3 linked regions of the Struthio camelus genome follow. The protein of the gene in region 1 interacts with the protein of each later gene in a pairwise test. Links are inferred from orthologs where the notes say so. Each region holds a gene or a part of one and is shown on either strand. Other genes may lie near its edges. The genes, in order: INPP5K, ARL6IP1 and MAD2L1BP.

Evidence for each region.
Region 2: the proteins of INPP5K (region 1) and ARL6IP1 interact in binary tests that used the Homo sapiens proteins (3 or more experiments, as listed by UniProt). The link is inferred for Struthio camelus from reciprocal best matches to the Homo sapiens genes INPP5K and ARL6IP1.
Region 3: the proteins of INPP5K (region 1) and MAD2L1BP interact in binary tests that used the Homo sapiens proteins (3 or more experiments, as listed by UniProt). The link is inferred for Struthio camelus from reciprocal best matches to the Homo sapiens genes INPP5K and MAD2L1BP.

What each region holds. Positions count from the first base shown.
Region 1 is NC_090957.1:15,965,661-15,976,078, forward strand, and holds the start of INPP5K (inositol polyphosphate 5-phosphatase K), read right to left. Parts: upstream 3,850-10,418; 5' UTR 3,835-3,849; coding exon 3,560-3,834; intron 3,352-3,559; coding exon 3,244-3,351; intron 2,519-3,243; coding exon 2,410-2,518; intron 1-2,409. UniProt on the Homo sapiens protein: Inositol 5-phosphatase which acts on inositol 1,4,5-trisphosphate, inositol 1,3,4,5-tetrakisphosphate, phosphatidylinositol 4,5-bisphosphate and phosphatidylinositol 3,4,5-trisphosphate.
Region 2 is NC_090956.1:10,490,555-10,501,427, reverse strand, and holds the start of ARL6IP1 (ADP-ribosylation factor-like protein 6-interacting protein 1), read right to left. Parts: upstream 4,575-10,873; 5' UTR 4,493-4,574; coding exon 4,457-4,492; intron 2,311-4,456; coding exon 2,177-2,310; intron 386-2,176; coding exon 266-385; intron 1-265. UniProt on the Homo sapiens protein: Positively regulates SLC1A1/EAAC1-mediated glutamate transport by increasing its affinity for glutamate in a PKC activity-dependent manner.
Region 3 is NC_090944.1:103,724,201-103,735,003, reverse strand, and holds MAD2L1BP (MAD2L1-binding protein), read right to left. Parts: upstream 4,930-10,803; 5' UTR 4,927-4,929; coding exon 4,582-4,926; exon of another isoform or gene 4,573-4,581; intron 4,006-4,572; coding exon 3,475-4,005; 3' UTR 1,593-3,474; downstream 1-1,592. Other genes in the region: epoxide hydrolase 1, read left to right, coding at 156-269, 1,238-1,439; GTPBP2 (GTP-binding protein 2), read left to right, coding at 6,551-6,733, 8,775-8,801, 9,385-9,569, 9,872-9,980, 10,538-10,735. UniProt on the Homo sapiens protein: May function to silence the spindle checkpoint and allow mitosis to proceed through anaphase by binding MAD2L1 after it has become dissociated from the MAD2L1-CDC20 complex.

The sequences.
Region 1 (10,418 bases):
CTTCCAAAAGAAAGATCCTTAAGGAGCATGTATGACACTGTTTTTGCTTTAAGATACTTTTTTTTTTTGGTATAGAAATAGCCTAATGAAGATGATCTTTGTTAAAGAATATGTTATTGGGATGTTGCTAGCATGAGACACAAGATTCAGTTTAAATATTTGTTTTAATGATAATGAGTCTATTTAAAACACGGATGTTATAGTTCAATTTTATATTTGATGAACTAACAGCAAGACTACATTAGCATAAAAACTGATACTAAGAAAAACACTGACTATATAACAAGTCCTTATCTCGCTCGAAAATTTACTACAAAATTCATTCGTTCTTAGCCTCTACATCAAAACAATTAAATGATTGTAGGATATATGTTACTGTTTTCATTGTCCGAAAAAAATGCATACCATTAGTATATTTAAATGATGGATCACAATTTACTTTATAATACATAAATATTTGTATCTGATCAGACATTTGGTATAACCTGTATTCTCCTTTCCATAATTAAGTTCAGGAGATACCAAGATCTTTCAGTCCCATTAGAGACCATGACAGGTAAAGAGGAGATCCAGTCTGCGGCTCAAGTCTTCCAGTTTTCCAAAGCTCAAAGTCTATTTGCTACGTTCCACTCTTTTCTGCTGCGGGCCAGCCCCTAAACATAACTCAAGATCCACCGTCCACTATAAAACCTCCTCCCTCTGCAGGCCTTGAATATCAAAACACAATGGCTCCCTCCTTTGCTGGGACTTACACTAGTCCCACCAACATGTAGTGCCAGATCGTGCAAAGCCTCTTCACAGAAGAGACATGACTCTGCTTATGGTGAAAAAACTGACTGATCCCAACAACCTAATGTTCCAAGAACAGACCCTGCTAGCGAAGTGACAGAACATCCAAAGGAGGACTATGACCCCTCTACATCCAACCTCATCCAAGGTCAACATAGAACACTTAACTGTTCCTCTGTTTAAAAAAGCTTATGCTAGGACACATCTGGAAAGCTGGCTCTCCTAGTTGCCCATTTTGATTTTGACCTGGCCTGCCAGTAAGGGAAGGCATGTCAATGACCCAGGTCTCTTGTTGGAGCTAATTAAATCTTGCTGAAAACCATTAGGTGGCAGCATCCATTCACTAGTGCATCCTAAGCTCTGCATCTACAAATTAGAAATTCACTCAGCCATGCATACCATAGGGAATTCATTTTAACTGTATACAGGGCCTGATTATCATCCTGTGGCCATATTTTGAAAGTTTACCAGCAACATCTTACACTAGGATGAACTATGTTTTTCTTTCCCTTTTTTTTTTTTTTTAAACTTCCAATAGGTCCTTTATTTGATTTAATTACATTTTTGTTTAGTTACGGTTAAAAGAATGGAACAACTATGAGTCTTATTAGCATGCAGATAATATATTAATTTCAGCAAAATCACCCTGAAATAATTTAGAAAACTGCTACAACATTGAAAAGGCTTTTAATATTAATTTATTAGAGAAATTCAGGAGAATTTACTGTTTCCTTCACTAAAATACCTAGTGTTTTATTTGATCTTGTGTCCCATATATTGTCAAAAATCTTGTTGTTTAAACTTTCTATACAATGTTCTAGGCCCTTAATAAAGTCCTCAAAAATCTATACACCTGCTATACTCCTGTTCTATGTTTAAGCAATTTACTTTCACCTGTAAACAAATTAATTAAAAAAAATAAAAAAAGGAAGAAGAAACCTTACCAATCTTAATGAAAATCACTGCCATTGCTTGGGATACTTATAGTGAAAGCAGGTACTTAAGGAGACTACATTAGAAGCATCACATTACAGTTCCCAAATATTGCACAGAGCAAAAAAAATTTCTACAAACAAGAGAAAGACAGAGATATTGTGGCCACAAGAAATATGCTGTTAGACTGCAACTTTACATCACATTTCACTTTAAGTAATCTTGTTCAGTAAACTCTGTTCCTTGAGAATGTATTCTCATTAAAACAGGAGTATTTTCGTATTCATCACATGGTTCTACACCACTTGCATTAGCCACTGCACGCATACCTGAACAAACATCTCCTCGCTGTTTGTCATCCCATCTGCAAAAGCATCAAAACTACCTAGCTATTCCAAACACGAAATAAAATTCTGTGTGTCCAATTTTTACTGCTAAACATTAAGGATACTACTATTAATAGAAAAAAAAAAACCTAAAAATGCCTTTACCAACAAACCAAGAGAACACCAGTCTGGCAGAGAATCACTTCTAACATACATGCACCTATGGAAATGATTGATACCTGTAAAAGATGTGTGTTGATGGTGTTTTTTACATCTCAGTTTGAGGAAAAAAAAAGTCTGAACGGAGCCGAGGAAGACATTTTCCTTCACTGTTGTAATATTTAGAGATGTAAACAGTTACCTTGAGGTATCCCAACGGTGACAGTACAGTCATGAAAAAAATGCTCCAAGGATCATCAAATGCCAAGTCAGAGAGAAAGTTTGTGATCCTTGAGTTCACCTCCTGTAAGCTGAACACATGAAAATTACTCGCACCGGATCATCGGGTTTTAACAGAATTCATAGAACCTTATCACAACACAAACCACAACATCCCAATAGACCTCTCTGCACCTAAGCGAGAAATTTCTTAACGCTGTTCAATTTCTCATTTACAAGCAGTTTAACCCATCCACAGGTCTAACACTAAGAAAAGCTAAGTTAAAGGAGCTTATGTACGCACACAGTCAGAGTTCAAGACAATACCAAACTCCAGGTAAACGATGACAAAGAACACATCTTGACATATTCAAGTAAGTTTGGAAAAGATGACAGTTTCACTAAAAGATGACGCAAATCCAAAAGGGCACAGATTCTACCTAATTAGTTTGCATCCATTTCTTTAAAACATACTGATTTTCAGATAACTTCCCTATCAAAACGAGCATGTTCTCTACTTGCCAACAAAGACCACAGCAGCCAAAATATTTTTTAATTCTATGCGCTTAGATAAAGAAAAGATATTCTGTGTTCTGTCATATGAAACAACATCAGAAAGAGGAGAAGAGTCGCTTGCTATAAATCATCTCTGTTCTTTGGCATTAACTCTAACCTTCATCTTCTGTTAGCGACAGTATTCAACCACCTCCTGGAAGGTTATTCACATTGCACAGTTCTCCCCAAGCTGACAGTAAGCTGTTGAAACTTATCGGCTTTGCAGTAAACTAACAAAGCAAGTTCTTCAACATATACTTACCCAATAACATACATATCCATAGCTGGGCCCAGTGAATTGAGCTGAAGTAAACTAGTGACATCAGGAGGTGGAGAAGCTGTGCCCACATTCCAGGTAACTACGTGCAGTCTACAAATAAAGAAAAAAAAAAATTCACATTTAAATTCTAGCACTGGTTTTGTGTGATAAGTAACCTGAAGAGCATCTAACTTCTCTGACAGAATTTCTGTCTACAGAAAACAAAGAAAATAAAGATTTTCTGTCATTTTTTGGCCAATTAGAAACCTATTTATTAGCTAGTATAAAAAATAACAATCAGTTAGTGAAGGAACAAAACCTGAATTCTTGCCACTTGTCCTTCAGCTTTTTCCCCCAGATAAGGAAAGCTTCATCTAGAGTGCGAGATACTTCTTCATGAATTTCATCATCTGAGCTGATGTCCTCTACACAAGCCATAAGCTGGGCTACTCGCTGACGGAGTTGCAAGCGGCCACTGGACCCCGCGCTGCTGAAACTTGCAGAACGGCTGCGGAAGTTGTGCAGGCTTTCTAAATCATGTAGGGAGAGGGCTGATGACTCTTGAAACGCATCTTCACTACTGAAGGATGCCATTTGCTCAGAAGGAAAGAACAGCTATATTCCAAAGGACCAATGCATTAAAATCCCAAGTATAAAACAAACAGCGAGATGCCTAAGGGTCTCGAAAAATCAAGCTTTCACTCATATGAAATTCAGCATTGCTTCAAACCCAGGACAAATGCAGATGCAGCAGTGCTGAAAAAACTGTAGCACTACCACCACATTCAACAGCTTGTTACAAAAGCTGCAGTCACATCCTGCCTCACACACTGAATCATTTTTTTCTAATAGATTTAATGTGGTTAATTCTATAAGCTTAAGATTTAAAAGAATTTATTGTTGATTTGAATCAATCATGTGCTTCCATTTGTAGGTTAGCAGAAATATAATCTCCAGCTTCCCAGCATACAAACACTCAGTTCAGGCCAAAACCAAACAAACCTACTGCTCCTCTTGAGTGCTTCCAGAAACATACTCTTGCCACATAACTTACCTACTGTTTCATTTTAAAACAGTATTTTCTATATCACAGCTTCTAAAAAGGGATTCACTTTACATTTATTGTGTAAAGGCCCTATAAGCACTTCCATCTGGTTAAATAATTAATCCCTACAACACACCCATTATGTAAGGCAGTACCTTTATCCCCCCTTACAATCAAGGGTCTGCTCAAGGTGACACAAAGTACACAGAAGAACTGGAAAGTGACCTTAAGCTCCAAACTAGTTCAGTGAGCCACGATTTTTCTCATCAATAGTTTCCCTTTATAAGGCTACACTGAAGTCAGCCAAAAGCTACAGTACAGTAAACTGACCCTAAAATAAATTTCTAGAGGAAAAAATTATGTAGGCTGCAGATCTCATGCTATCATCAAAGAGATGTATCGCTTGGGAATTCTCTCCAATTAGTAATTTTTGCAGGCAATTACCCGAGAAGTCAAAAGTCAAACAATATTGAAGTTATCAGTCATTACTGACAGAAATTAAATTCTCCCAATACCTACACTACTAATAAGAATACAAGAAAGACTGCAGAGCTCAAATTTGCACCAGAAGAAGAATATTTGTAAAAATTTCAAGAACATCCTTAACGATTCAGTTTCATTGCCGGTTATGACCGTGTCTGCAGGAAAGACTTAACAGTTAGGGATATATAGGTACCTGTAGAGTAGGTAAGATCCTGTGGCATTATGCCATCCCAAAGGCCTACCGATGCTCTCTAGTGCTTTACAAGGCCATACAAGAGCTAACTGCGGCGAGGAAAGGACTACAGCAATTCCAGTTCTCACTTGATGCCACAAACAGACCCGTTACCAACAGATCGGTGGCTGCTCAAGCTATCCTCTCCTTCCGTACTCAGCACCACGGCATCTTAAAACACCTGCGAATCCCCTCCCAATGTAGCAGAAGCCTTCAGCACCACGAGAGCGCTGCCCTGAGCGGGCCTGCCACAGATCAGCTCCTGAATCCAAACAATTTTTAAAAGATGGCACTCGGTGTCACCGGCTCCTGTCATTATTCAACAGCAGAGAGGGTGGTGGTGGTGGTTTGTTTTTTTTTTTTTTTAAGGCTCAGAGAGTCATCCCCAACAGGCCGTTACAACCATTAGGCTACCCCTAAGTAAACACGAGGTTTATCTGCCGTTTTTCCTCGTTGCGGAGGACTGCTCACAGGCTCCGTTAAGCAGAGGCTTCCCCTCGCCCGCCGTCGGCGACACCGCACCGCGGAGGACGCGGCGCGAACAAACGCGCTCCCCTCGGGCCCCGGGCGAGCCCGCCGGCTCGGCCCTCTCAGGCGCTGAGGCCCCGAGCACCTGAACCACCCTCGGTAAGCCGCCCTGAAGCGGCTCCGGGGGGGGGGGGGGGGCAACGTTTTCAAAGCGGAAAAGCAGCTTTTCTTCTCTATTTCATGTGACTACGTAACAGCGCTGATTAGCGTAACTCCCCGCTAATGAGCAGAAACACAGGCTTCGCTAATTCCCAGCCGTTACGTAAAGCCGCCACCGCTCTTCTGCCCTTATCTCGGGGAAAAAAAAGCAGCGCGCAACACCCGCCGGCTTCGGCGCGGCCGCTCACCTCAGCATCCTCGCGCCGCCGCCGCGCCGCGCCGCCTCCATCCCGCCGCCGCCGCCGCCGCCGGCGGGAAGCGCTGCGAGCGGGGCAGGGCGGCCCCGGCCTCGACCCCGGCCCGCGGCCTCCTCCGGCGCCTCGCTCCCCTCAGCGGCGGCGCTCCGCGCTCATTGGGCCGCGCGAGGGTCACGTGGCGCTGGAGGGGCGGGGCGAGGCTGGGCGCGGCGGCGGCGCCGCCAGGCGCGCCGGAGGGGCGCGGGCGCCGCCCGGGGACTCTCTGCGGCCCCCGCAGACCCTTTCCGCACCGCCTCGCAGCCCCCAGGGCTCCCCCTCTGCGGCCCCCGCAGACCCTTTCCGCACCGCCTCGCAGCCCCCAGGGCTCCCCCTCTGCGGCCCCCGCAGACCCTTTCCGCACCGCCTCGCAGCCCCCAGGGCTCCCCCTCTGCGGCCCCCGCAGACCCTTTCCGCACCGCCTCGCAGCCCCCAGGGCTCCCCCTCTGCGGCCCCCGCAGACCCTTTCCGCACCGCCTCGCAGCCCCCAGGGCTCCCCCTCTGCGGCCCCCGCAGACCCTTTCCGCACCGCCTCGCAGCCCCCAGGGCTCCCCCTCTGCGGCCCCCACACTGCTGCACCCAGAACAAAGGAGGCGGAAGCGTAAAGCTCAGTCTAGTATTTTATTAGATTTCATTTCCAATATGCCTGTATTGGAAGATTAGGAGACAAAAAAGGCACAAACTCACATTAAAGAAACAACGAGATAATCTAACCCATTCTACAAAGTGTGTGTTGCCAAAGGAAAGAGCACGATGAACTCATCAGAACGTGGCGGGGAGGCCCAAGGGGATGAACCCAGAGACGTGCAGCAGGTGGGGGGCAAGCGGCCCTGCCGGCAAACCGGCCCGACGCGGGTTGCGGGCCCCCGCGGCACAGTACGCGCATCCCAGCGGTACTGCGGCGCTCGGAGCCAACCGGCACCGATCGGGGAGAGGGTCACAGCCCAACCATCGCCCTAGAACAGACAAACAGCCCAGCGGTAACCCCTCCGCGAGCCAGCAGGGTTTGGGGTTCTTGCCAAAGCCAATGAAAGAGCTGCAGCACCGTGGCGCTGCATGGTCTTCAATATGCTCACTAGCAGGAACCAAGCATCGAGACTGAAAGGTTTTTTATAGAATTCATCTATCCCAAGGCTGAGGGATGCATTCACTTTGGATTGAATCAGGAGGAAAGAAAACAAGGAGAAGAAAGAAAGAAAGAAAGAAAGAAAAAGTTCAGGATGGAGTTCCTGCATTTTTTCCCCGTTTTTTCCACTAATCAGGAAAGCTTTATGTAAGAGCTCTTACCCTGAAAACAGAGGATCAGCAAAGGATTGCATGGTGGAATGTTACAATCTGCTTCCACAGCGATTAGTGTCATCAGCTAGAAAGCCTCTTGGATAACACAAATTTAAAGAACAAATGTGCTATGTATTCTCAAGTTGTCCTCAAGTGTAAGAATCCCTCAAAATGTAACCAACAAACACGAACAGAAGTCAGTGCATAAATTCTCAGTTAAAAATATTTTAAACTGAAAGAACTATTAAGTGGGGCCTACTCTCCTAAAATACTTCTTGAACACCTACAGGAGATGCCATGAAACAACATCCTGGTCCCAAATAGCCTTGCAGATTAAGATTTAGTATCTTCACCTATTTTACAGTAAGTTTGTTTTACTTCTGCCTGGTGTGTTTGCTAAAAATCCCTCATCCCCCCCCACCCCGCAAAACCGTCTGAGGTCACTGAGAAGAGCCTGCCAGAGTTACTGGTACAATTCAGAGCTTATTGCACTTAGACATGAGTAAGGCAAAAAAACAAACTAAAAAAGGGATAAACTGCCCCCTCCCCAGTAACCAAAAGCCATCCTCTCCCTCCAGACCATGAATCATTTTCCCTCACACTGAAAACAATTCAGACCCCAGCATGTACTTGTTCAGCATGGCACGGGATCATTTCAGGATTTCCTGCTTGCAGGAATGCGAAGGGCTGAAGGAGTCAGATGTATTAACGAACGCCAAAAAGACTCCTTGAAGGTACAGATACACCCACGTCTGTGTTTAGCATTCAGTATTTTCCGTTAGCGCCACCAAATACAGAAGTGGAAAATAAAGTGATGACTCTTGGGGGTGGGGGGGAAGTCAAACATTGGGCCTGATGCATAAGCAAAGAAATTAGGGTTTTCTCATATGTATTTAATAAAGCACTATTTTTTTGATTCTGTTCTGCTTATTTGATTGTCTAAAGCTGGTATCAACATAAGGATAGTTAACAGATAGTATTAGAGTTCATTAAATACCCAGAGCTGTTTTCATTGTTCAACAGTATCCTTTGCAACTTTTAAAAACTGGCAAGGTATCCTACAAAACAACTGCAGGTCTTTGTAAGTTACTGTTTCATAGAAGGGAATGACATGTTTCAAGTCAGTCTTGCAATGGGAAGAGTATTATTGCTGAGCAGAACCACCAAACCAGGCACCTGAACGTGATCAGATACCGAGACTTTACTTATACACTAGCTTTGCTACATTCTAATTTGTCCAGGGAGAATCACATTATTATTAGTCAAAATAATTTTAGTTTTGTAAGTTATGCTAAGTCTTACTAAAGAAAGAACCAGGAAGTTGCAACATTTCTCAAGCAAGTTTTTACAATGATCTTATAAGACTGACACATGAAGCTAAAGGACAACATGGCTACATGGGCCAAAGGGACCGTGTATCGCTAAACTGAAACTCAACAGTTATGTGCTGAAGGACCTAGCATGGGGATGCCGAACACAGCTTCTGCTCAGTCTTTAACTCACGTGTGCTAAGAGAGAATAAAGTAATGCTGTGCAGAAGCCACGTATCAGCTTATATTCATTGCAGACCAAGAACTATCTCTGGCTTCCCTGATTATGTATTCAGATTACACGCCATTAAATTTGTTACCTTGGGAGCAAGGTCAGGGCATATAATTTTGTGGAATAGTTTTGCACTCTAAAATACTGAGAGGTTCCCTCTCCAAATAGACTTTCAAAGAATGGTGAACGGCTGGGCACAAACAAAGGTGGCAGTTTATCCCAGTTAAAAAAAAAAAAAATCTAAGTCACCACATCACAAGACTATTTTAGCTAAAAATGTCACTTGGAAATCAAACAGGGCCACATGGAAATTGGTCTGAATACAATGAAAAAAAAAAAAGGAGGGAGGAGTCGTAAATGCAGCGATCTCTAAGTCACACGTCTCCAAGGAGCTACCTCCTTCATATACGTGCTAACATTGGAGTGCTTAGTACCAGACGGTCTATTTGCTCACAATATTAAAGGGCATCTAGAATTAGCTATGGGAGATTTAAAATCGCCTGCTGATTGGATATAGAAAGGCTTGATCCAGAGATGGTCCATCAGTCAAGAGTATGGATTCCCCAGGCCTTCCTGATGACTGTCTTGCAAACTAAAATAGAGAGACAACAGGAAAACGTTTCAGAACCACTTTGGAAGTGTGCCAGAAGCTTCAGATTGACCCCTCAAGTAAGTGTTTAGACACCCTGTCTCCAGCGCCGACAGTGGCAGTACACCACTGCATCACTACATTTCAGCCCTAATCCAGAACAGAATTTCCAATGGAACCTAAGACAGATGAACATGAATTGCAACTTAAACAACCTAACAATTCCAGAAGCCGTGGTACAATTATGAGAAGACCACCAACTCACTTCTCTAAGAACTAGAGTAAATGAAGAGGAAGTGAAATAGGTTAAAGTTTCATTAAAAGATTAAAATGTATCTAGTTGATTTCAGAAGGGTGATAAGACCCCCCCCATCCATGTTCCTCACTTACCACCAAATAACCAGTAGATAACAGAGCACAGGCAGAGGCAAACAGTCAGTCCTTGATAAAGCTGTGGCTATGCCCTACCCCTGCCCGCCCCCCTCCCTCTCCCACCAAACCCAAAACTGATTCTATGATCTAACAGACATGGTTTAACATTCTCAGCAATGCTTATGTCATCACTGAGCATGCTGTCTAGAATACAGCCTAGGGGATTGGCCAGCAAGGACAAATTCATATATATATGCTCTCCAGTATGGCAGTCCCTCCTCCCCGAAGCTAGCACATTCATAATGAAATGCATGAAATAAGTCAAAAGCTTTAAAATTGTCCTCTCCTCCTCCTTCCCCCTGATGCGTAAGTGTTGACCCAGGCTTTAGTCTATTAATAAATACTGTTAACAAACAATATGCCAGAAATATCCCAAATGATAGCATTTGCAGATCCAACTTATTCCTTCTGGACTGGCAAAAGATTCTCTGCAAGTCATGGGATAGAGGCATTACAGAAATAAGAATAGCAGCGAAGTATATAAAATGTTCTAACACATTTTAAACTTTTCATTCAAACATTGCTTTAGAATAATTCTGAAACAAGACAGTAAATTCACTCATCGACCTACCAGTGAAACATGTTTATTATCACTTAATACCACAGTTCGACTGCCTGAAGCTACAGGGAGGATCCTTTGTCCCAAATGTATTTGCC
Region 2 (10,873 bases), on another chromosome or scaffold:
TAGAACTAAATAGCATCCTTAATGTAGAGCAGAAAAAGTGCACATTCCCACAAAAATCTTATTTTGCTGGAAGAAAATGACCAGTAAAGATATGTTGTAGTAGTGGTCCTTCAGAAACAGAGGAAGGCAGCACATCTTACTTCACATACAGAGATTGCCAGCTTCTCACTACAATGCCTTTGTATAGGAGGGTCAACTATCCATTTGGTTTAAGTTCATAGTTTCTACATACTCAAGAAACTATTTCAGTTTGAACTTTCCTCACCACTTATTAGAGCCAAAGATTCTAGGGGCGAGAGCAGGAACAAGGTAATCAGCCAAACAGAGGAACATAACAAAACAGGAAACGCCTGAAAGAACAGATGGATCCAAGTAGTAGATCATCCTGTAGAAAGAAAACAATGGAAATGATTTCTGGATGCTCAGTCTACTAAATACTTGACATATTTAGCCATCTCTTCAAATTGGCTCAAAATTGGAAACAGTAACCCTACCCTCTTGCCCACGCGCAAAAATCTTCCCCCCCCCCTTCAAATTTGCTCTTATTACTACTAAATATTTCATTGAATCTGTATTTGCTTTAATATTACTGATCAAACTACTAGTTTCTTAACATACTAGGTAAGAAAATGCTAGAATATAGCATAGTATGAAATACACTAGATCTCAAAATTCATTATTGCTCTCCCAGAAGTCAAGACCCAGCAAACATTACACTGGCTGAGGTGGGGAGAGTGAGGGGTGCAAGACCGTTTGTGAGCAAGTGAAGTAACCAGGTAGGGTGAAAGCTCTAACCTTGTTGGGAGCTGTAAGCCTCCAATTGTGTTGTGCTCTGACATACTAACTTTGCATTTTTGACTCAAATGCAACTGTATCAGTTCTAGACAAGAACTAGCTTATCTCATGAGTGTCTTTTAATACTTAACTGCACCCTGTGTTATTTATTTGCACTTAGCAGCTCTTCCCCAACACTAAAGTAATAGAAGTACAGAGGTGACAGTCCACTGCAGGCCCAATCTTTCTATACATCAGGCACAGTGCTACATGCTGAATGCTCCAGTTCATGTTTGATGAAGTACCAATTCCAAATTCAGGATTTGCAGTAGCTCTACTTCCTCATAGTATTATTGAGCATAGTATCTTTCCTGCTATAATTACAGACAATTTATTAGTGAATGTCCTGAAGTTCACGCAGTCACACTTCTGAAGTTACTTTTCAGCCTCATTTGATTTCTACCCTTCTCACCTCCCTTGAGAACCATAAGCTTTACTCAGAGTAGCCAGAAGACAGTTTATCCCTACCTCACCTAGTTCAACATTTATGATAACTGCCCTCTTTTCTTCACTCCAAGAAAACATGCAGCTGGCAAACCTCACAACAGGTGTAGACGCTTATCTGTATAAGGCTTGTAGGGGTCATCTTGGCTGCTACAGCATTACATAAAAGCACATACAAGCGCCTCCAGCAATGCAGTTCAGTATCTCTAACCCAGAGAGGGTTAACATTCTTCCACCCTGTTGACTAAAAATTACCTACAGTCTTTCCTTCTCCCCTCCTGCTCTCTTTTTAATGAGTGCAAGAGCCAGTCTGAAAGTACCAGTTGTGTGAAGATGACTGAATTCCGCCTAAACACCATGCCAAAAGTGCAAAATTGCTAACATTTCAGAGAAGTTGGCCCAATGGGAACAAGCTTTCTGTCATAACTTAAGACCATAATAGCATTGCTGTTGGCTTAGGGAAAAAAGCCACAGAAGATAACCAGATCTGACTAAGTAGCATACAAAGGGTGAGGGTTAAATACGTATAAAAAAAAGGGAACAGCATACAGCTGAAGGTGCTAAGAAGCTACAGCAGTCATCCCTGACAAACTTTTCCAGAAAACATCACCTCTCCCCTCACCCCCAGCACTTTTTTTTTTTTTTTTTTTTTTTTTAAGAAGTCTATAGCTAAGACATTGAAAGGAAGTACAAGATCTGAGTGGGATGAGAGAGGTGTTAGTTCTTGTTCCCAGTTCTTTTTTTCTTTTCAAGAAAGTTAACATGCATTAAGGAACAGAACTTGGAGTAAGAAAGCTTCCCATTAGGTTTTTAAAGAAAACGTCTTAGTAGTTTTCTTAACACTTCTGCCACTAGCCATGAGAGCACAATGCTGGTCTATGCTCCATGAGCTACTTACAGGAAAGAGAAGGAAACAACACTCATCAGTGCAAGAGGAAACCAGGCTCTCTCCCAGCGAAGAATTTTATCAGTCATCAAAATCACTTCTCCCCATCCTTGCAATTGCTCTTCTAAGCTAGCAGTTTCTGCAGCCTACACAAGAAGAGAGAAGAAAACTTGTTATTACTAACCAGAATATCACACTAGCTCCTGTATGTGAAGTATCTAAAGAGCATATATTAAATAAAGACTGCAGTCACAAATCCTTCTGTGTATTTACATTGCTAATGATGTTGTAAATTGCCTACCATATGATGACACTGTAGCAGTGACACTTTAGCATAAAGTCAAGACTCCAGCAAAGTAGCAGCAACTCTCAACTCAGTATATTAATTGGTACAAAGACTGAGGCAACTCTCCAGTTCACTTTATGCACTTTGCTATATATATTTTCCAATGATTGTTTAACCATATGCATGTTCCCATTCTTCCTCTCCTTCAAAGCCTTTTTTTTTTAAAAGAATTACAAAACCTGTTAATATAGAGCCTAACAAAAAGTATTCTTCTATAAAGCACTTATGTCATATCCCAAATTGTCTATTTCAGTTTTCCACAATTCAGTTTCCACAAGTTGCCCAAGACTGTGACAAGGGGACCTTTACACTCCTTCCTACACCAGCAAAGGCATCACATTATGCAATTGCTCTCAGCATATCTTTTGGATCTGCTCCAGCATAAGCTGGCTGAGCAGCTGGCCCGAGGAGTGCCAAATTTACTAGTTTGCCCTCAGCGGGACAAGAGATCTCAGATTACAAAACTCAAGTAACCACAAACAGAACAGACTATTTCCTACATAGCAAGAGGTTAAAAGTCATCAAGATCTGCACATCTGCCGTGCAGAGATGTCACAGCAGGTTTAATTCTCCAGTGGATGATACACTTACCTCAAATGAGAAACCTGACACCATTTCCCAGGATAACAGAGAGAGCTGCGTGCAGCTACCATGGTAAAGCACAGTTCTCTTATACAATACCATTGTAAGCTATTTTAAAACTACACTTACAGACAAAATAGAGTGGATAGCTATCTACCTGATATGCCTTCGAGTTATCACATCTATTTCATGTTTTATAGAATATAAACCCCCATAAAAATGGAAAAAAAAAAAAGCTGCATTTCTCCAGAAAGCATTTTACAACAAACTGTTTTTCTTTATTACTTCCAGCTGTCTGCCACTAACAACACAGTCAAAAGAAAATTTAATGGGAAACAGTTTGGAATATAACACAGCTGGTAGTAGCAGTCTGCCTCTGTCAGCCTATGAGTACTGTAACTTGTTTGCCCACAGGGCCAGGTAGAAAAAACTTACTATGTCAGTTTTGTCAACAGCAACACTATTTAATTCCAAAACACGTCCACCAAAAGTGATTTGTCATTAACCAAAGAACATTAAGTTTCCAGAAACATGAACTTCCATTCTGAAGGGGGCATCTCTCTAGACCATAGAACATGTTTTTGGCAACATAGATCTGTTTCTTTTTCCTTCTGAAATTTAAAGTTTCTTTCCACTTCTAAGCTACTGAAAGAAAGCATCAGTTCTGATTCCCTCAGTATCTCCTAACTGTCCAGCTTCCTGTTCAAAAAAACATTAGTAGGCACTCCACTCAAAAGTCTCCTTTCTTTCACCCCTTCAGCCCCACGCTTTTACAGCAGTCTCCCCAGCACCCGTTGTTCATCCATAACAGAGACGGACACAGTCACACCCTTGGCCAAGGCCACCTTTTACGTGCTTTAGTTACATTAATTATCCAGCTCCTGTCACTATCTTCCTGCACCTTTTAAACATCTAAAACATAGCCAAAGTATGTCGAAACATGAAGATATGAACGTTAAACGTAAGCCTTGCACATCAGGTAAAGCGAGGCATTATTACGAGGCTGGGAGCAGCACAGCAGCAGCAGTGCCGTTTCTAAGCGCGGCGCAGAGCTGCCCTAGTCGAACTCAGGCTCCGCCAGGCCCGAGTCCATCCACGCACGGCAGCGGCAAGGCGAGCGCGGAGCTCACACCGCTAAGGCGGCGGCCGCCGCGGCCAGGCCCGGCCAGGCCCGGCCCGGCCTCCCCGACCCTCTCCCCCGGCAGGGCCGAGCGCGGCCGCCAGCCAGGCCGCGGCGCGGAGAGGCCACTCCGGGCCCACCGAGGCCCTTCCCCAGCCAGCGGCCTCGCCACCGGCGGGGGTTGATGGCCCGGCGCCGCCACCGCAACACCCCGCCGGCCCCGGGAAGGAGCGCGGCCCCTCACCAGCTGGTTGCTGCTCTTATTGTCGCCCTCCGCCATCTTGCGCCGCCCTCGCGCCGCCGCCCCCGACCGCGCCCCGCGGCGCCGCGGCGGCCGCCGCCTCTTATAGCCGCGGTCCCCTTCCCCGCCCCCACCTCCCGTCAGACCGCGGCAGCTCTGCCCGACATCGCGATTGGCCGGCTCGAAACGCAGCGCGAGCCAATCCCAGAGCGCCGGCCGGGTCTCACCGACGGCCGGTTGGCCGGTGGGAATTTGAATAGAGAGACTCAACCAATCAGCCTGCGGCATCCGCCCCTCCCCCACCCCCCCCTCCGTCGCAGTGCGACTGCGACAGGAGCGGCCGTTAACGGCCCGGCCGCCGCAGGGGCGGCGGCGGCGCCTGGGCCCGGCGGAGCCGGTCCAGAGCGGTGCAGGGTGCCGGGGGCCTGCGCCCTCCCAGGCGCTGGGCAGCACGCTGGAAAGCGAGGAAGCTGCTCAAGGGCCAGAGGCGTCCTGGGGACGGCAACCCAGCAAAAGCGCAGTCAACATCTGAGACGTAACTGCAGTGTTGTTAATGCTGCTTAGTCAAAAAATAATTGTCTGGGCTCAGTACACACCACACTGATTTCATGGTAGAGGCACGTGCAATGTGTTAAGCAGACGTTTTATTTAGCCGTCTTAATCCCTGTCCCCTTAAGACCTTCAAAGGGAATCTGTTTTTATTTTTAAAAGTCTTAGCCCTATAACATAAAAACGGGATTATCAGAAGGTATTAAGTAAAAGGCTTCTCAATGTGCTTTTTTAAAATGTTACCTTTGCTTGTCATATATAGCATGTCTTAAGAATAGTACTGAAAACGTCCAGAATGTTTCAAGACTACTAAGTACCCTGCTGCAGCTGAAATGTCAGAAATGTCACCAGAAGATCTCACTAACAGAAACTTTAAGAAAGTTGGCATGTCTTTAATAGCATATATATTTAAACTGATTGCCTTTGACTAATGTGAAACAACCAGTATGTCACCTCTAAGAAAGCTAAATCCAGTTGCAAGAGATGCCTTCAAGATTACCACACAGGAAGCAGATGAAATAACCCATAGCTCCCTGGAAGTTGCACTAGGTCTGAAAACCACAACTGACCTAGGCACCATAATTACCACCAGGAGTCTAACAACTTGCTTTAATTTTTTCATAAGCTGTAGTAGCACAGGAATAGACATGGGAGAAATGCACTAGGGTTGTTTTTTTTTTTTTTTTTTCCCGACTCAATGTCCTAATACATGCATGACTGACACATTTATGAGCTTAATCACAGCCGCTAGGATGTAACGCAACTCCAAAGCGAGGGGCAAAAAAAAAAACAACCAACCAAACAAAAAACCTGCATTACTCTTCTTCCACCTCTTCACCTCGATTCACGAACTTGACACAGAGCAGAAAGGGGACAGTGCTAGCTTTCACCTGTCTTTGATCTTCCAGAATCTTGAATGACTTTGAAGAGCACTATAAGGAATAGATACTTTACTGAACAACTTTCAAATTAATTTACTTGCCGTTCCTAAAAGCTGAGAATATCTTTGTGTATAGTTTTGCTCTTACCTCAGAAACGTTGGGTTCCACCCTCAAAATCCATTATTGCACTACAGCAAGCCTCAAACAAAAAATAATTTCATAAGAAAGTGGTGTCAGCACCAATTCTGATGAAAGTCTTTTGAGAAAGCAACGCACTGCGCTTCTACTCGTGACCATGCTGTTATTGTCGCAGCGTCCTCAGTAGGGCCAGCCAGCCAGCTCCTACTTTCATCTAGTTGGATGATTTTCACCACAAAAACACAGCAGTCATCAATAAAAAAAGCAGATGTTTTCTATCATCTCCATCCCCACCGCCAGATTCATTGATCTCCCAGGTGGTCTTTCAAATGCCAGTTCCCAAATGAGACTACAGCTCCAGCTTTTCTCCTGACCCAGTGGACCCACACAGGTCTCCCTCCCTTGCGTAAGTGCTCTTCTGCACCTGGGGTGGGGAGGGGGAAGGGCAGAGTGGGTCTCCCAGGACATCCTCGCTGTCCAGGAAGAGCATCAGTTCGGGCTCGTGCCCTAGAGCAGAGAACGCAAGAACATCAGGCTCTGCCAGGCCGCTCAGTGCTCTCCTGTGTGAACAGCCAGGCCATGAAGCACGATGCAAATCCAAAAAACAGGTGCATGTGTGTGCATACATGTATGTGTATAAATATAAATACAACATTTGTTAAAACTCCTAGTCCTAATACAGGACTAGGATACAGCGCTATCAGTAGCTCAGAGTGTGGAAACCCAGTCAGGCAAGTCTGTTCTTCACTTCCCACACGTTACCTGAACTAATAGAAAACCAGTTGTTTCCTATATGCTTCTACATATCATGCAGATAGTGCTGCAAGGTAGAGGCACTGTTCATACACTGACATTCTCACACACAGTTTGCAGCAAGCTTCAGACTTGCTCACCCCTTCATCACCCCTTCATCACATGGAAAAACATAATAAATGCATCTAAAAATGTTTTTCCCTTATGCTATCAACAAAAAGACAAAGCCGGATAGAAGTGAAAAAATGATCTGATTAGCTACACACTTAGGTACACACAAAAGTAATTTAATATTTAACATTTATCTAAATTTCTTAAAAAAAATGATATTTCACTAAAATGCTAATAGTGCACTCCTGAATAGGTATTTTCCACTAAAGAAAAAATATAAACTGCATATGATACTTGCGTACCCATGTGTTTAAGAAAGCAAAAGCTAGATGAATGGCAGTTCATCTTAAATGTTTTTTCCTAGAATGATATTTAATCCATAGAGGGGCATGCCTGCTAATTCAGAAAAAGCTTGCCAAAAAAGGGGAGGGGCAGGCAAATAAACTTTTGAAGCACCTGAGCGTGCTAAAACAGCAAGGCCAAATGTACTAGGTACAGTACACTGACGAAAGGAAATGGATCTTCAGGACCACAATGTTTACAAAAATTAAGCTTTAACTCTTCAATCCCCTCCAGTATTTTTGGCATAACATTTGTATATGGTGCTTTTCCTTGAGAGATCTCAAAGCAGATAACGTATTTATCCTTTGTTAACTGCTTTGAATAGAAAGCAGACAGCTATGTGGTTATTGCAGGGGCTGCGTTCACGGTCACTGTGATTCCCACTGTGGAGTCTGCACAATGAAGCATGCTTGTTTCCCAGGCAAGACGACATAGCACTAAGTCTCACCAATGATTCTACAGAAACCCAATTCAAAGCCTTCTCCAGTCAAAAATGAAAAATGTTTTTCTCCACCTGCAATGTCTCAAAACTCTGATTTATATAACAGACTTGAGTTTGTTACAGATATTTGAAAAATTACAGACGAAAACATTTTAAAAAGAATAATCACCGAATGCAAAATTGGATGTTAAGAAGGAAAGAAACAGATCATGAAAAAAGTACTGCAAAGCACTAAAAATTCCATTACTGTAAGTATTTGCTACGATTTCAACTTGAGTTAAACTAACCTGACATGCCACTGAAGACTCATTTGCTTAGGCCTAAACACACTGCAATAACCTATTAGGTAAAGCAGTGCTTCTACCCTGATTTTAGAGAAGGGGAGTGGGAAGATAGACAAACTAGTAACTGGAGTCCCAGAAGGCGAAGAATATCTCAGCCATTAGACTATACAGTTGAAAGGAGGCAGCAACTTAAAACTGCTGCACCCACTTCAAATTTGACTGCAAGGAATTCATTTATAGCATGATCCCTTGGTTAAAATTCACTGCAGGTGAGCATCATGCAAAAACACTGCCATCAGCTGAACAGTTCAGCTTCTATTACTTCAGTTGATTTACGTGTGTGTACGAAGATTTTGATTCTAGATTTGCATTATTCTAGGTTTTGTTGCAGCAACAAAGTTGATGTCTCAGTTTTACTGAAATAAAGTAACTTTATGTCTTTACAGGAAAGAGATTTGTAAAGAACAGTCGTCTTTAACATGCAACACGCATGCACAAAACCTGCTTCAGAACTCTATTTTAGGTTTAACAAAGACTGAAAGAAAAATGTGTTTTTGACTTCAACACATAAAAGCTGACAGTCCCACAAACTCCTGAACAGGTAAGCTGTCTCCTTAACATTACACACTTAATTCTGCAGAATCCAGTCCTAATCTGGGATTTATGTACTAGGCCTTTTATTCTTCCTCATAATTTTCAAAACCACCAACAGTTTTGCATAAAAGGAAAATTATGAATACAATTTTTTTTTAAAACTTTATTAAATTATGCAGTAAAGAACCCATCTCCACACAAGTGTTTCATTTCTGGACAGCAGAGGTATAATACATGAGCCACAGGTGAGTGCATTACCCCTCCCTTCCCCCAACTTCCAAGAAATAAAACAGCATGTATAATACACTCTTATTACTATGGTACTCCAAACAGATTGTTCATAAGGTTATTTTTAACTGGAGAAAAAGTAAAAAGGACCAACAGTGTAAAGTGTCTTGTTCTGCACATGAATGTTCTTCACTGCAACATTCAAACACCTTCTTTCTTGCAATACATGGCATGGCAGAGGGTTCAGGAAGCAATGACAGTGGAATGCATTTGCACGAGTATCATTAAATATAAAGCCTGTGACTTCTCTGGAGTTAATCAGACAATCAGAATGCAACCAAAAAAAAAAAAAAGGCCATGTCTGTTGAAATTGCTTACACTTCAAAGTGCATGTCCATGAAAAATTGGCAACAGAGGAAAAAGCGAACTCTAAGATCTACTTAGGAGGCAGAGCAGTTAGCATAGTGCAAATACTGAAAATAATATAAGTTCTTCTATTACTTATGTCTGGTGTTAATTTGTTACCTGAAAAATATTAGCCAAGCTTTCTACTCAAGATGAACTGCTGTAAATCCATTCAATTAAATGAATTCTATGCTAGTAGTGAACTTGGCTCAAATTCTTTAATACTTAAATTTTGATTGAAAAATTAAAGTGTGTTTTTACTCTGAAAAGTGACTAAAATGGCCTAAAGGAACTTCCCATGTCTATCATTTTTCAGCAGCTGCATGTAATATATTCACCAAATTTACAAAAGGAAACTTTTTATATGTAGCTATGCAAATTTATCTGAGCCAGAGAAAGCCAATGTGCATTTCTGCCTTGGATATCAGCACCTGTAACAGATTCTGTAGTTACAACTGAATTGTTAGGTTTATTTGGTATAAGAAAAGCAAGTTTCCTTTTCCTAAAGGTGTTCCAGAGCCAAAGACAGTCCAAGCTCCTTTTAAAGGTAAGGAAGAAGTATTTTAGACAACTCACAGACAAGCAGGACATAGTTCTAAGTAAGAAGATGCCATTTTTAGAGAGACTTTTCTGACCATAATCACACTTTGAGTGCAGAACTGATTAAAAAAAACAAAAAGCCTTGGTGGAAGATTCACTATGAATGCATTATTGAACAACCATCTATAGAAGTAATATGGCAAAGCAAAATTACTTTGCAGAAATCTTTACAAATCTAGTTGAACAAAAATTGGAGCGTCCTTCATTTGTTGGATTTTATGTATACTCCTGTGAACCGAAGCACTATAATTTACAAGTGTAAACTAAAAGTATTAGGAAAGTGAAGTAAAAAGCGTATCACTCTACCTCCACCAGAACATCACTTTATTGTTTATCTGTCATCAACAATGTAAAACTCTACTAGATACTCTATCCTGGTTTTTAAAAAGGTAAAGATTACATTGGATTAGGTACGTCGTACGAAAGAAACTACAGCAATCACAGTAGAATGAATTGGAGGGACAATTTGAATTACAAAAAAGTGTACACTGCAAGCAGAGGGAAGTGCACGTTAAATCAAATGCCTGTAGGATTCATTACTTTTAAATGCACAGTGACAATTTTGAGAAACTGTACATGATAGAATCACAGAAGTGACTTCAAAATAACCAAAATTACATTTTGCATTTGACCATCCAACTCATAAGTAATCATTGATGTTCTACATTTTCAGTGCTTTGGGAAAATTGGTTTACCAAACAAAATTCGTTAATTTGACTAAACTGTGAAGTAGAAGGATTGAAATAAAAGGTATATTGGAAGTACGCCTAAACTACAAGAATAAGCCAGAAGAGGGCTATGCAAGGAGAGGCCGGGAGGGAAAAAAAGAAAGGAAAGAGGAAAAGGAGAAGAGAACAAAGGCTTTTTCTTCTATCTCAGAAGTTCTTCCAATGCAGCGTATATCTGATGTTTAGCTCTTTGCTTTCAGTCCATTTCTGAAGTTTACATTTTGTAGCCTTTTTCTGTACTAACTGGTCAACTCAACCAGCACTGTTGCCAAGCAACAAGAGTAACAAGAATCTGAATGCATCAAATCTTCCTTTGCTGTGATTTCTTCATGGCCCCATTTTTTTCTGTTTTTCTTTGAACAGGG
Region 3 (10,803 bases), on another chromosome or scaffold:
CCAAGCAGTTTTGCTCCAGCCATGTAGATGCCAATTAAGTTGCTGCTTGAAAATGAGTGGAAAACAAGAGGACTGACAGTTCTTCAGTGCATGAATGCACTACTGTGCATTGAGAAACAGCCTTCAGTGCAACTTTTTCTTTTTCCCCTCAACAGCAAATACTCTTTAGATGACCTCTTGACCAACGTGATGATTTACTGGGTGACATCATCCATCGTGCCCTCAATGCGTTTCTACAAGGAGAACTTCCCCAGTAGCCTTGATTTAAGGTAACTAAGTGGCAGGTGCAGGATAGATTTGCAACAGATATGGGGATTGGACCACATTTGCCTGAGCATTTAGATCACTTACAACAGCAAAGTTAACACTTACTTTTTGAAAAAAAAAAAAAATCCAAGTTCTTATTTCCTGTTGATAAGTATAGTTAAGGGTCACTTTTCTTGTGAACTTGTAAGGCTCATAAGCTGGCTTGCAGCCAAGACAACGCAGAGAACATATTAAGAGAGATTCATAGACGTTTTTGTTCAAAATACAAGTCAATACCATTATTTGCCTGAAGAACAAATTTAGGCTGGGGCTTAGTTCTGTAAAAAGGAAAAAAAAACCCAACACATTAGCATCTCTTTTGGGGAGCTTAAACTGAATTAGGAAGGATATGGCTTACTGGTGGATAAACTAAGAACTACAGCTGTTGATCAAGGACTTAAGGAAGCAACTTGGGAAGGGATTTTACTAAAGGAGCAAGTTTCTAGAAAAGCAGTACTTGAGACCAAACACCTTCTAACAGCTACTAGCTTTAGGATTACTACTACAGAGGCTGACCAGAAAACACACTGCTGAGCAAAACTGCTCTTCAAGTGACTGACCTTAAGAACAAGAGAGAATCTTGTTCTCTGTGGACTGGCCAAGCCAGTTTACCTTTCTTCTCAGAAGGATAAGGGTCACATGTCACAAAGCTACCAAGCAAGACAAGCTTAAAAATCTGAAATAATTTAAGATTGAACTCTGTGCACAAGGTCAGCTCTACTTTACATATCTGACTGTAACAATCAGGATTGTTACAAAACTCAAGGAGAGATCCAAATACAAGTGAAGCACTTCAGCTGGGTACAGACCACAAAACAAGTTGCTGTAGTGAAACTTCAACTCACTGTGGCAGTTACAAGAGTCAGAAGAGTTTTATAGACTTCCCCCAGGAACAGTCTTTCAAAAATGCAGTTAACTAATGTCCTTTTAGGGTCGACATATACGTTCCCACAGGGATTGCAGCCTTTCCTCACGAGATAGTACATACACCGCGCACCTGGGCAAAGAAGAACTTCAAGAACATTGTCACTTACTCTTACATGCCACGTGGGGGGCATTTTGCTGCCTTCGAGGAACCAAGGCTTCTGGCACAAGACATCAGGCACTTTGTCAGAAAGGTGGAACAACTGTGAACCTACAGTTCAGATATGTACAGAGAATCAAAGCATGTTGCTCTGCAACCACCAGAAGCAGTACTTTGAAGGGTTAAATAAATCTACTGTAGTCACATACAGAGACCAGCATTTTATTTTGTTGATAACTACTAGACTTGTTAATAAAGCTCTAAAGCTCTTCATAAGAAAAGAAGGCATCTTGTCGTCTTTCATTCCCAACACCCTATCATTGCTGCATTCATAATTCAAGTATAACAGAATATGTAAACAGTTTAATGCAATAACATTGCACTCACTTAAGGGAGGGAGGGGAAAGGGACCGGTCCCTTGTTCCTCAGAACGAAGGCTTCTGTTCAAAAGCTTCTTTAAATATTTGAGTGCTAACATTCTTAAGTATGCATTACAAGCAGCTGTGGTGGAAGTAAAGGGTTTTGATCTCCTGAGCACATCAAACACTCCACCTGTTCAAGTCACATTTCAGTCAAGAGACCTGTGATCACATGCTGAAGTGGGCAGCTGCACCTAAGGCAGCTTTCTTCATTCTAGCAATTTCTTCCTGGAGCTAGCTTTAGCAGTCACCACATCTTTGTTAACCAACGGATAGTAAGGCAGAGACAGCACTCCTGGCATTCTCCAAGCTCAAAAACGTCAACTTAACTACCTTGCTTCCCGTTCTACAATCTTACTCCATTCCAAAAGGTCAGACAATTTTTTTTTTTAAAGGAATAAGTGCAGAGCCTCCTTTCAACAGATCTTCTAGTACCTCACTAGTGCGAGTAAGAAACTACAAGCAACCTCACTACCAGTAGCCTACAATTTCAAACAGGAGAGAGATATTTGGAGCTACTAAACTCATTGCATTATAGGTACGTACCCAGCTGATGCAAGACGACTCCAGTGGATATCTAGTTTGACACAGCGTACTCTAAGGGTTTCTCTCTGTGTCCCATTCTGCACTAGACACCAGACCTGGTACAGAAGAAAGGGCTCAAGTTCTACTTCCAGGTAATACAGAGCATTCCAATTTGGAACAGGAAGTTCACAGTTAAAGACAGTGTTGAAGTTGATCATATCCCCATCATCTCTTCTCCACATTTCAGCAAGCTTTAGAGTCTCAGCAAGCTTTAGAGTCTAAGACTCTAACATTTCTAAGAGGTAAAAGTAAGCAAGAACTGAGCCTTTTTTTTTTTTTTAAAGGAGAAAAAAACAGCATAATGGGGCAGGAGTCCTAACTTCCTCTGAAGAGTGTTAGAACAAAAATTACTTACTCTTGATTTTAACAAACTGATTGTCAGGGCTGTTGGAGTCAAGGTTCATAAAGAGACACCAAAATGTGCTTTTCTGCCTCCACAGGACTGCTTAACCTTTTTTCACAAGTACAGCACAGTGCTAGGTAAGAAACCTCCCAATTGCTAAGGTGTCCTACTCTTTGGATGATTAACTAGCTGACATTGAATTATGGGAAGTCTAATTTTATCAAATAGATGATCAAACACTTAAGTATTCAAATTTGATCACACTAAAGGGAAAGATCTCTTTTCCCAGCAGTGGGATAGGTAAGAATTGCTATAGCCTTTACTATAAAGGCTACTAAGCCCTGGAAAGGCCAACTGCATTAATAATCACGTGCATTATTTAGAGTCTGAGACAATTTGGTAAAGTAATAATTATTGCTAGAGGAACTGCTGCATTAAAACTCAGGAGAGAGAAGATCATATCCAGTATTTGCCAGTTCAGTAAGCATGCTGCAAGAAAGTTTTACTCCCAGCACAGTAGTTCCATCTGCTGTGCCACAGCCCAGGTTCCTAAAGAATGCCTGTATCGATATGTAACTGTACCTTAAAAGGTATTTGTTTTCAATAACAACATGGGGAAGAATTTTACAGCTGTTTCATAGAAAGATGAACACAGTCCAGCTACAGGAAGATAGCAGATGCCCTGGAGAAAAGATCCAGAGAGACAAGAATATGCAATTACATTTGATAAAATAGTCATCACCTAAAGCAGCACCAAAGGTTATTCAATAATCCATTGAAGTTCTATAAAGCACGAGTCATTCATGAAATCCCTTGAGTGTCACCGGTGCTTGAAACCATATGTAATCCTCCCAGGCCGATGTCATACCCTGAGGAGATGAGGCACTTATACTGACGTCTCCATCAGAGGACAAGTTGACAGTTAGTTTCCTTCCTCGAGTCGGCACTTTGTAGTTGAGCTTGGGCCGGAACCAATCAACACCACAGTCGCGGTGTCCTTGGAGCATAACGACAGTGCCCACGATGGGGAGAACCTTAAGTTCACTGAAGACATCCGCTATGAAGAGCGAGTGAAAAAGTTTACGCACGCAGAATGGGGTTTTCAGGCTCTCCTCAGCGCTGCCCACACAGATACCCTCTAAGTTGAGCTCATAAAGCTCCTTGGGGCTCACAGCATTGCCACCAAGCAGAATAAGAACACGGGGAACCAGCGTCAAACTGAACATCACTTCCAAGTGCTGGAGCACCCCCTCCAGCTCCATCAGCACCTGCTGGCATTTCTTGCTTGCCATGTCCATGGAGGGCGGCTTCTTAATCACGTCTCCATCCTGTCAGGGGGAGGAGGGGGAATTAGAATACTTGAGAAAAATAGGGAAGAGGTCTTAATACACTCTTGTGAGGTGCAGCACATCCCTTCCCTAACACTCAAGGGAGGTTGGACAGATTTTTTTTTTTTCTTTTAAGAGGTACAGGGCAGCTCATATGGAATCAGGAGGTCCGAGAGGAATGCAAAAGGCCACTCGGTAGCTGCTCAGCTTGAACCTGCATCAGGCTACTAATGAATCCTCACAACAATTAGGGACCCCAACTTTCAAAGGTGGGGAAACCACCCTGAAGCCACTTGAGAGCAAGGCAGCGTGCGGTGGGCTTGGCCGAGCCACAAACGCAAAACAGCGAGCCACGCACTTTGAGCGGAAACTGGGACGCAAGGGATTAACAGCAGCGTCTTGACACTTTTAGCTGTCGGCCTTATTTTAAAACAAGGCTGCGGCATGGCTAAGGCTTGAGCTAACGCGGGCGTCTCGTTTCAGGAGAAAGTGACGCCGTTGCCAAGCCGCGGCGCCAGCAGAGCGCCGCGTCGCGCCGGCCCCGCGCCTGGCCCCGGCCCCGGCCCCGCCGCCCACCTGCGCCGCCCGCCGGCAGAAGTAGACGAGCTGCTCGTAGGGCAGCGGCAGCTGGTGCCGCTGGTGCAGGACGTGCTTGAGGAGCTCGCAGGCGAAGCGGCAACAGCTCTCACGGCTCACGGCGCCCGGGAACACCACCGACACCGAGGGGCACCCCGCCGCTGCCGCCGCCGCCGCCCCGCTCCGCCGGGACCTCACCCCGCCGCGCTCCGGGGCGGCCGGCGGCGCCTCGGCTGTGAGGAGCGGGGACAAGGCAGAGGTCGCCCGCCGGGGAGGGGTGGGGGCGGCGGCCGCAACAGCCACCGCTGGGGCGCAGGGCCGCTCCGCGCCGCCCGGCGCCGCCATTTTCTGAGCGGCGGCGGGCGGTGGCCAGCGCGGATTTGAATGGCCGCCGCCGCGGGGCACCATGGGAGCGCTCTCGCGCGCGGCTTCCGGGGCGGTGCCGCCGCCATGTTCGGTGGGGGCGGAGCGGGGCCCGGGCCTACGTGGGGGCGCTGCCCTCGCTCCGGGTGCGGCAGCCGTGCGGGTGCTTGGTGAGGCCGGAGCCCCCGGCCCCGCTGCGCTGAGGCGCCGCCGGCCCAGCCGCGGGCGCCGTGAGCCCTCCCGTAGGCAGGGCGGGCGGTTTCTCCCTCAGTGCCGTTGGTCCCCGAGCGCCCGTCAGGCGCCCCCCGGGGCCAAGCCGAAGGCCCTGCCGGCCCCCCAGCCCGCTCAGGCCTCTGACCGGGGTGGGGGGGAGCCGCGCTGGCTCTGCCCGGGCTGGGCTGCTCCCGGGGCGCTGTTTTGCGGCGCGTTGCCGCGCCGGGCGAAGCTGTTTGCCAGGCGGAGGCGGGGGAGCCGGGCCAGGTGGCGTGCGGCCAGGGCCTGTCGTGTTTGGAAACAACGTGGCCGCAGCCCCATTGGGCGCAGCCTCCAAAACACGGCCCGGGGAGGGCGGTCGCGCCGGTGGGTGATGGGATGAGCAATTCCCCAGTGCTCCCGTAGGGTGAGGAGCGCTGTGTGCGCACAGCACGGCGACCTTGGCTACCTCTTAAAAGCACCAAAGGCTTTAAAAGCTGTTGATGGTAGCACATGTTAATCGAGCATCTCTGTCCCCAGGGGATGGAGCTGAGAAAAATGAGGCTTACTGGCAGTAGCAGTAGTAGCATCAGAGAGACAAATGAGTGGCAAAACATGCAGTGCATTACTGGCAGAGAAGGTGACAACACGTGGCAGGAGGTTCTCATCCTCAGCCTGTTGCTTTTACCCTTCTCAGCAGAGCTTATGGTATCTTCTCTATAGTTCCGTGCTGTGATACCATTTCTGTATAGCTATTAAGTATTTCTGATGCAAACCTTATTCGTAAAAACCTTTTGGCTCCCTGTCCCTGTTGCCAGCCGGAATCGGTGCCAATAGCTGTCACTGAAGTGGAGGGTATCAGGGCTCGAAGCGTGCAGCAGGCTGCGCCCCGGCAACATAAGCTGCGAATTGCAGAGTCCCCAAGGGAGGGTGGCAGGTGCTGGAGGAGCACCCCCTCCCTCAGCCTTGCACCCTCGGAGACCCTCGGTGGTTCCCTGGCCCAGGCCCGCTCCCCAAAGCACGGCCGAGGAGAGGGGCGGGGGAGCACCCGGGGTTGGGGGGCGCGACCTGTCGGCGATGCCCGCGGTGGCCGCCAGGCGGCGCCCTCCCGCCTCCCCCGGACTCCAACTCCCGTCCGCCCCCGCCCGAGGGAGCCCGTATAGGAGCGGGAGCGGGGCGGCGCGGGGCGTGCTGGGAGTCGTAGTTCTGAGCGGTGGGGGGCGGCGCGGGGCGTGCCGGGAAGTGTAGTCCGGCGGCGGGGACTCAGTTTCCCGTGGCGCCGCGCGGCGGTTTCTGACGCCGGGGCCGGGGTCGGGGCCGGGGCGGCGAGCCGAGCCGAGCCGAGCCCGGGCGGGGAGCGGGCGCCGCACCGGGCCGGGCCGGGCCGGGCCGCGCCGCGCCGCGCCGCGCCGCCATGGACTCGCGGGTGTCGGAGCTGTTCGGGGGCTGCTGCCGGCCGGCGGGCGGCGGTGCGGGCGGGGCGCTGCGCGGGCGCGGGGGGGCCGCGCCCGGCGGCGGCGGCTCCTCCAAGGCGAAGAAGAAGAGCGGGCGGAGCCGGGGGGCCAAGGCCAACAACCCGCCGTACCTGCCGCCCGAGGTGAGCTCCGCGGCGGGGCCGGGCCGGGGCCGGGCTGCGGGGCGTCCCGGTGGGGTGGGGGGCGGCGGGGCTCGGCGCCTGGCAGGCGGTTTGGCAGGCGGTTGAGCCCGGCCCCGCCGGCACCGTTTCCCCCGCCGCGGGTTTGACGTGGCAGCGCTCGTGGTGCCGGGCAGCCCCCGGCGCGCTCGGCCAAACCGCGTCCGTCGGCGACGGCTCGCTGCCTGGCGTGCCCCTGGCAGTGCTTTGCCGTCGGGGAGCTGAACGGCTCGGGGAGTAAAACCTTGCTCGCCTCGCAGTCCCAAGCCTGCTGTTGGCACCGCTGCTGGGCAGTCGGTCTGGTGGGTGCCGGCGTCTTGCCGGCTGCCGAGCTACTAGACACCGCTCGGCAGCTTCTGGTGACACCCTTCGCGGCTCGCTCCGCCGCTGTGCCCTCGCGCCCGGGTGCGGAGGGCGCTGACAACGTGAGAGGCAGTCTTCTCGCTCACCTCTTACCGCCGGAAAATACGGTATCGGCAATAAGTAGCGTGTTGGTTAGTTCAGACAGTTGGCGGGGAACCGATAGGACCGCCGCTGTGGCGAGCCCTGCGCTGCCCCGGAGTTGATTGCTCAGCCCCGGTCAACAGGAGTCCTGTAAAAGAGGTAGGAGCCTGCTGAGGGGGAGCAATTCCCCGTGGCAGCAGGGAGTACGGGGCCTAGCTGCTGTTAGATGACTGCTCCACGGACAGGACTGTCCCCTGCCGCTGCAGTTGGGTTTTGTTCCTTTCAGCTGGAGGCTGGACGGTCCCTGTGGCTTCAGCACAGCTTCCTGTCCTCTGCTGCCTTGTTCGCTGTGTGGTCCAGCAAGTCTAGACTTGTTGCTTTTCTGGTCTCGGCTGCCTTGAAACCGACCCACCACCCCCTTATCACATACAGCGTTGCATGTGCGTGCAGTGTTTCTCTTAGAGCTGGAAGGATGGTGGATGGTAACAGGAAAACCTTTTGCAAGTACTGCTCTCTCACTGAGTAGTTTCACTGCCAAGAGCAGAGCTGATAATTCAGAGCCTCCCTCTGTTGGCCTTTTGCCACCATAAGCTCTGCTGTGGTTAGGAGCTGAACTAGAAGGCAAGGAGAGGCTCTTGCCTCTCTTGACGTGCAAATCAGTGTCTAGAGAAAAGGGAAGTGCTCAGTGCTGGCAGCCCGGTTTAGTCTGTCAGAGTACTTGGTGTCCTGCAGGCTCCAGCCCTTTCTCAGTGGTCCTTGGACTGAAGCAGTGGGAAAGTTACTTCAGTAGTGGCCATACGTTTTCTCTGAGAGTTGGTGCCTGTTGTGGTTGGAGTGCGCTCGATGAGTTAATGAGTCTTTCTGTTTCGGGCTGTGACAATCCAATCTGACTGCAGCCCTTCCGAGGATGTTGTCCACAGACGCTCCTGATCGTATCTGCTTCTCCAGAACTGTCAGGCCAGTGACTACTTTGCTGTACTACAAACAAGTCAGTAGTTTGCTTCCGTATGTCTGAAGGTCCTTCTCTCTGCAAGGTAGATGTGCATGGATATAGGAAAGAGTCGATGAAAAAATAATTGGATGAAGGGCATAGCGGTGTGTGGGAGAGGAGACAGCGACTTTTACCCCCAGCCAGCTGTTTTCATGCACGTTGGGCGGACAGAAGGTGCTGGATAGTGTGTGGTGGCAGTGTGGGATGTGAATTGAGTGGGGTGCGTGGAGACTTCTGATCATCTGCCAGCCTGTGCTGTTTTTTTGAAACTGAAAGTCTCTCTGACTTTCAGACTGGCCTCATCCTTTGCTGTCAGTAAAAGAAATGACTCTAATTTAGCCTCTGTTTTTCGTACTGTGTGATGCAAACAGCAGAAACGAACCCAAAGTAAGTTCCAGTACAATGTAGGAATGAATGGCAGGAGAGGCTGTGACTAACACTGTATGTTTCTGCAGTTTTCCCTCTCTCTGAAAATGGTAGCAGGAGCTTCACAGTGCCTGGGTGGCTGGTGCCTATTGTCCCTGTTGGCACAGGGTCTGACCTTTCTATCTTGTTTCATTCTCTGACTAGGCAGAAGATGGGAACATCGAGTACAAGGTGAGCCTTCTGAGCCTTGCAGAGGGAGGTCTTCCTCCCAGAGGATTATTTTGCAGTGAGTAACTTCAGCAAAGACAGCATATGGGGGACACGTTCAAGAAAGGGACAGAAAAATAGGCACTGGACTAAGGAGTTATCTGTCTACTTCTGGGTCTCTGTATGTAGCAATGCTCAGTATGCTGAGCTGGAAGAGTTGGATCTCCTTGCTTGTTTTAGGAACCTGGTTTAGGAGATGAGACCCACTGTACTTTTCATGAGATCTTCCTCCTTTGATGGAGATATCGAGGTATCCCTGATAATCCTTTGCCACTTGCTTGTGGCTCTCCAGCTGTTCACAGTTATTTGGTTCCTGTATCACAAATATGTCGCATGGTGCTGTTTCTTTGCCGCCAGAGCAGGCAGGGTACAGATCCCTTCTGCAAGATGCAGGAATGTTCTTGTACCCTACTATCATCAGGTGTGTTTTCAAGACGTGGGGTGGGGGCATTGCTTCATGGTGTTGGGCTGGGGAGTTGCTTCCTTGGGCAATGGGATTCCCTGTGTACCCAGGCTGTGACTCTTAACTACCCCCTCCGTTGAACAGCTAAAGCTAGTGAATCCTTCGCAATATCGCTTTGAGCACCTGGTGACACAGATGAAGTGGCGACTACAAGAAGGCCGAGGTGAGGCTGTCTATCAAATTGGCGTGGAGGACAACGGGCTGCTGGTGGGCCTCTCAGAAGAGGAGATGCGTGCCTCGCTCAAGACACTGCGCCGTATGGCGGAGAAGTATGTGTTCCTTTCCCTCACTGGAGCCTGCAGGCGTAAACAGCCTCCAGTGTAGAGAGGCTCGGCCCCCAAGGGGCAGAGGAGGGGAACTAAGGGCTCCAATTCACAAAGCCTCTGTATGACTGAAATTCCCTTAGCGCAAGGCTCTGGGAATAGCAGGGCAACTTGCCTGGAAGCTTGAGGCTTCTGCCCTGCGGTTTCCAGCTTTTGGCCCGTTCACTTTGCCAGGTCTGATTTTACAGGTGCCGAGGGCAGCTGAGTACAAAACGCGTGTCCCACTCTTCCCTTTGCGTTTGTGGCAGGGTTGGGGCAGACATCACAGTGCTCCGGGAGAGGGAGGTCGATTACGACAGCGACGTTCCAAGGAAGATAACAGAAGTCCTTGTCCGAAAGGTGCCTGACAACCAGCAGGTAGGAACCTGCAGCTTAGCCGTCCTCTCCTGCTGGAGACTTCCAGCCTTCATTCAAGCAGCTTCCTTTTGGGATGGGAGTCCAAGCCCTAGAGGCGCTTTGTCCTAGATTGGCCCATAGCAGGTGCTTTAAAGAGTTGCCAAAGAGAAGCTTGAGAGCAACGTTTTTCATCTCCAGGATTGCGATTGCAGCAGATTCCAGTAGGGGAGATTGCCTGCATGAGAGGTGAGAATTATTTCACTTCTATAGCACTGGTTGTGATGCAGCCCAGTGTGCAAACAGGGAAGGATTTGCAGTTATTGCTGCAACAAATGACTTTTTTTTTTTCTGATGTCAGAGGCTGGTGTATGACATCACAATGGTAGAAAGTGTATTGCAATTCCTGGGCTGTGATTTGCTGAGAGAAGGAGCAGAATCTGAGGAAGAAGATTACGCTGCACAATGCCCATCGTGCAGGGAAAGTCTCTGGTACCCATCTCTGCTGCCGTGCAGCATGGGTGCACCAACCAGCACAGCAGTGGCGAAGTTTTCCGATTTCTTTGTTGCTTTTCCCTTAGTTCTTAGACCTGCGAGTGGCTGTGCTGGGGAATGTGGACTCAGGGAAGTCGACGCTTTTGGGTGTCCTGACACAAGGAGAGCTAGACAACGGGAGGGGCAGAGCACGCCTCAACCTCTTCCGGCATCTTCACGAAATCCAGTCGGGAAGAACGTCGAGCATCAGCTTTGAGATCCTGGGCTTCAACAGCAAAGGAGAGGTGAGGGAGTGGCCTGCTGAACTCAAAATTGCTGGGAGAGGGTGAGATGGTGAAGGAGAGTATGGCTG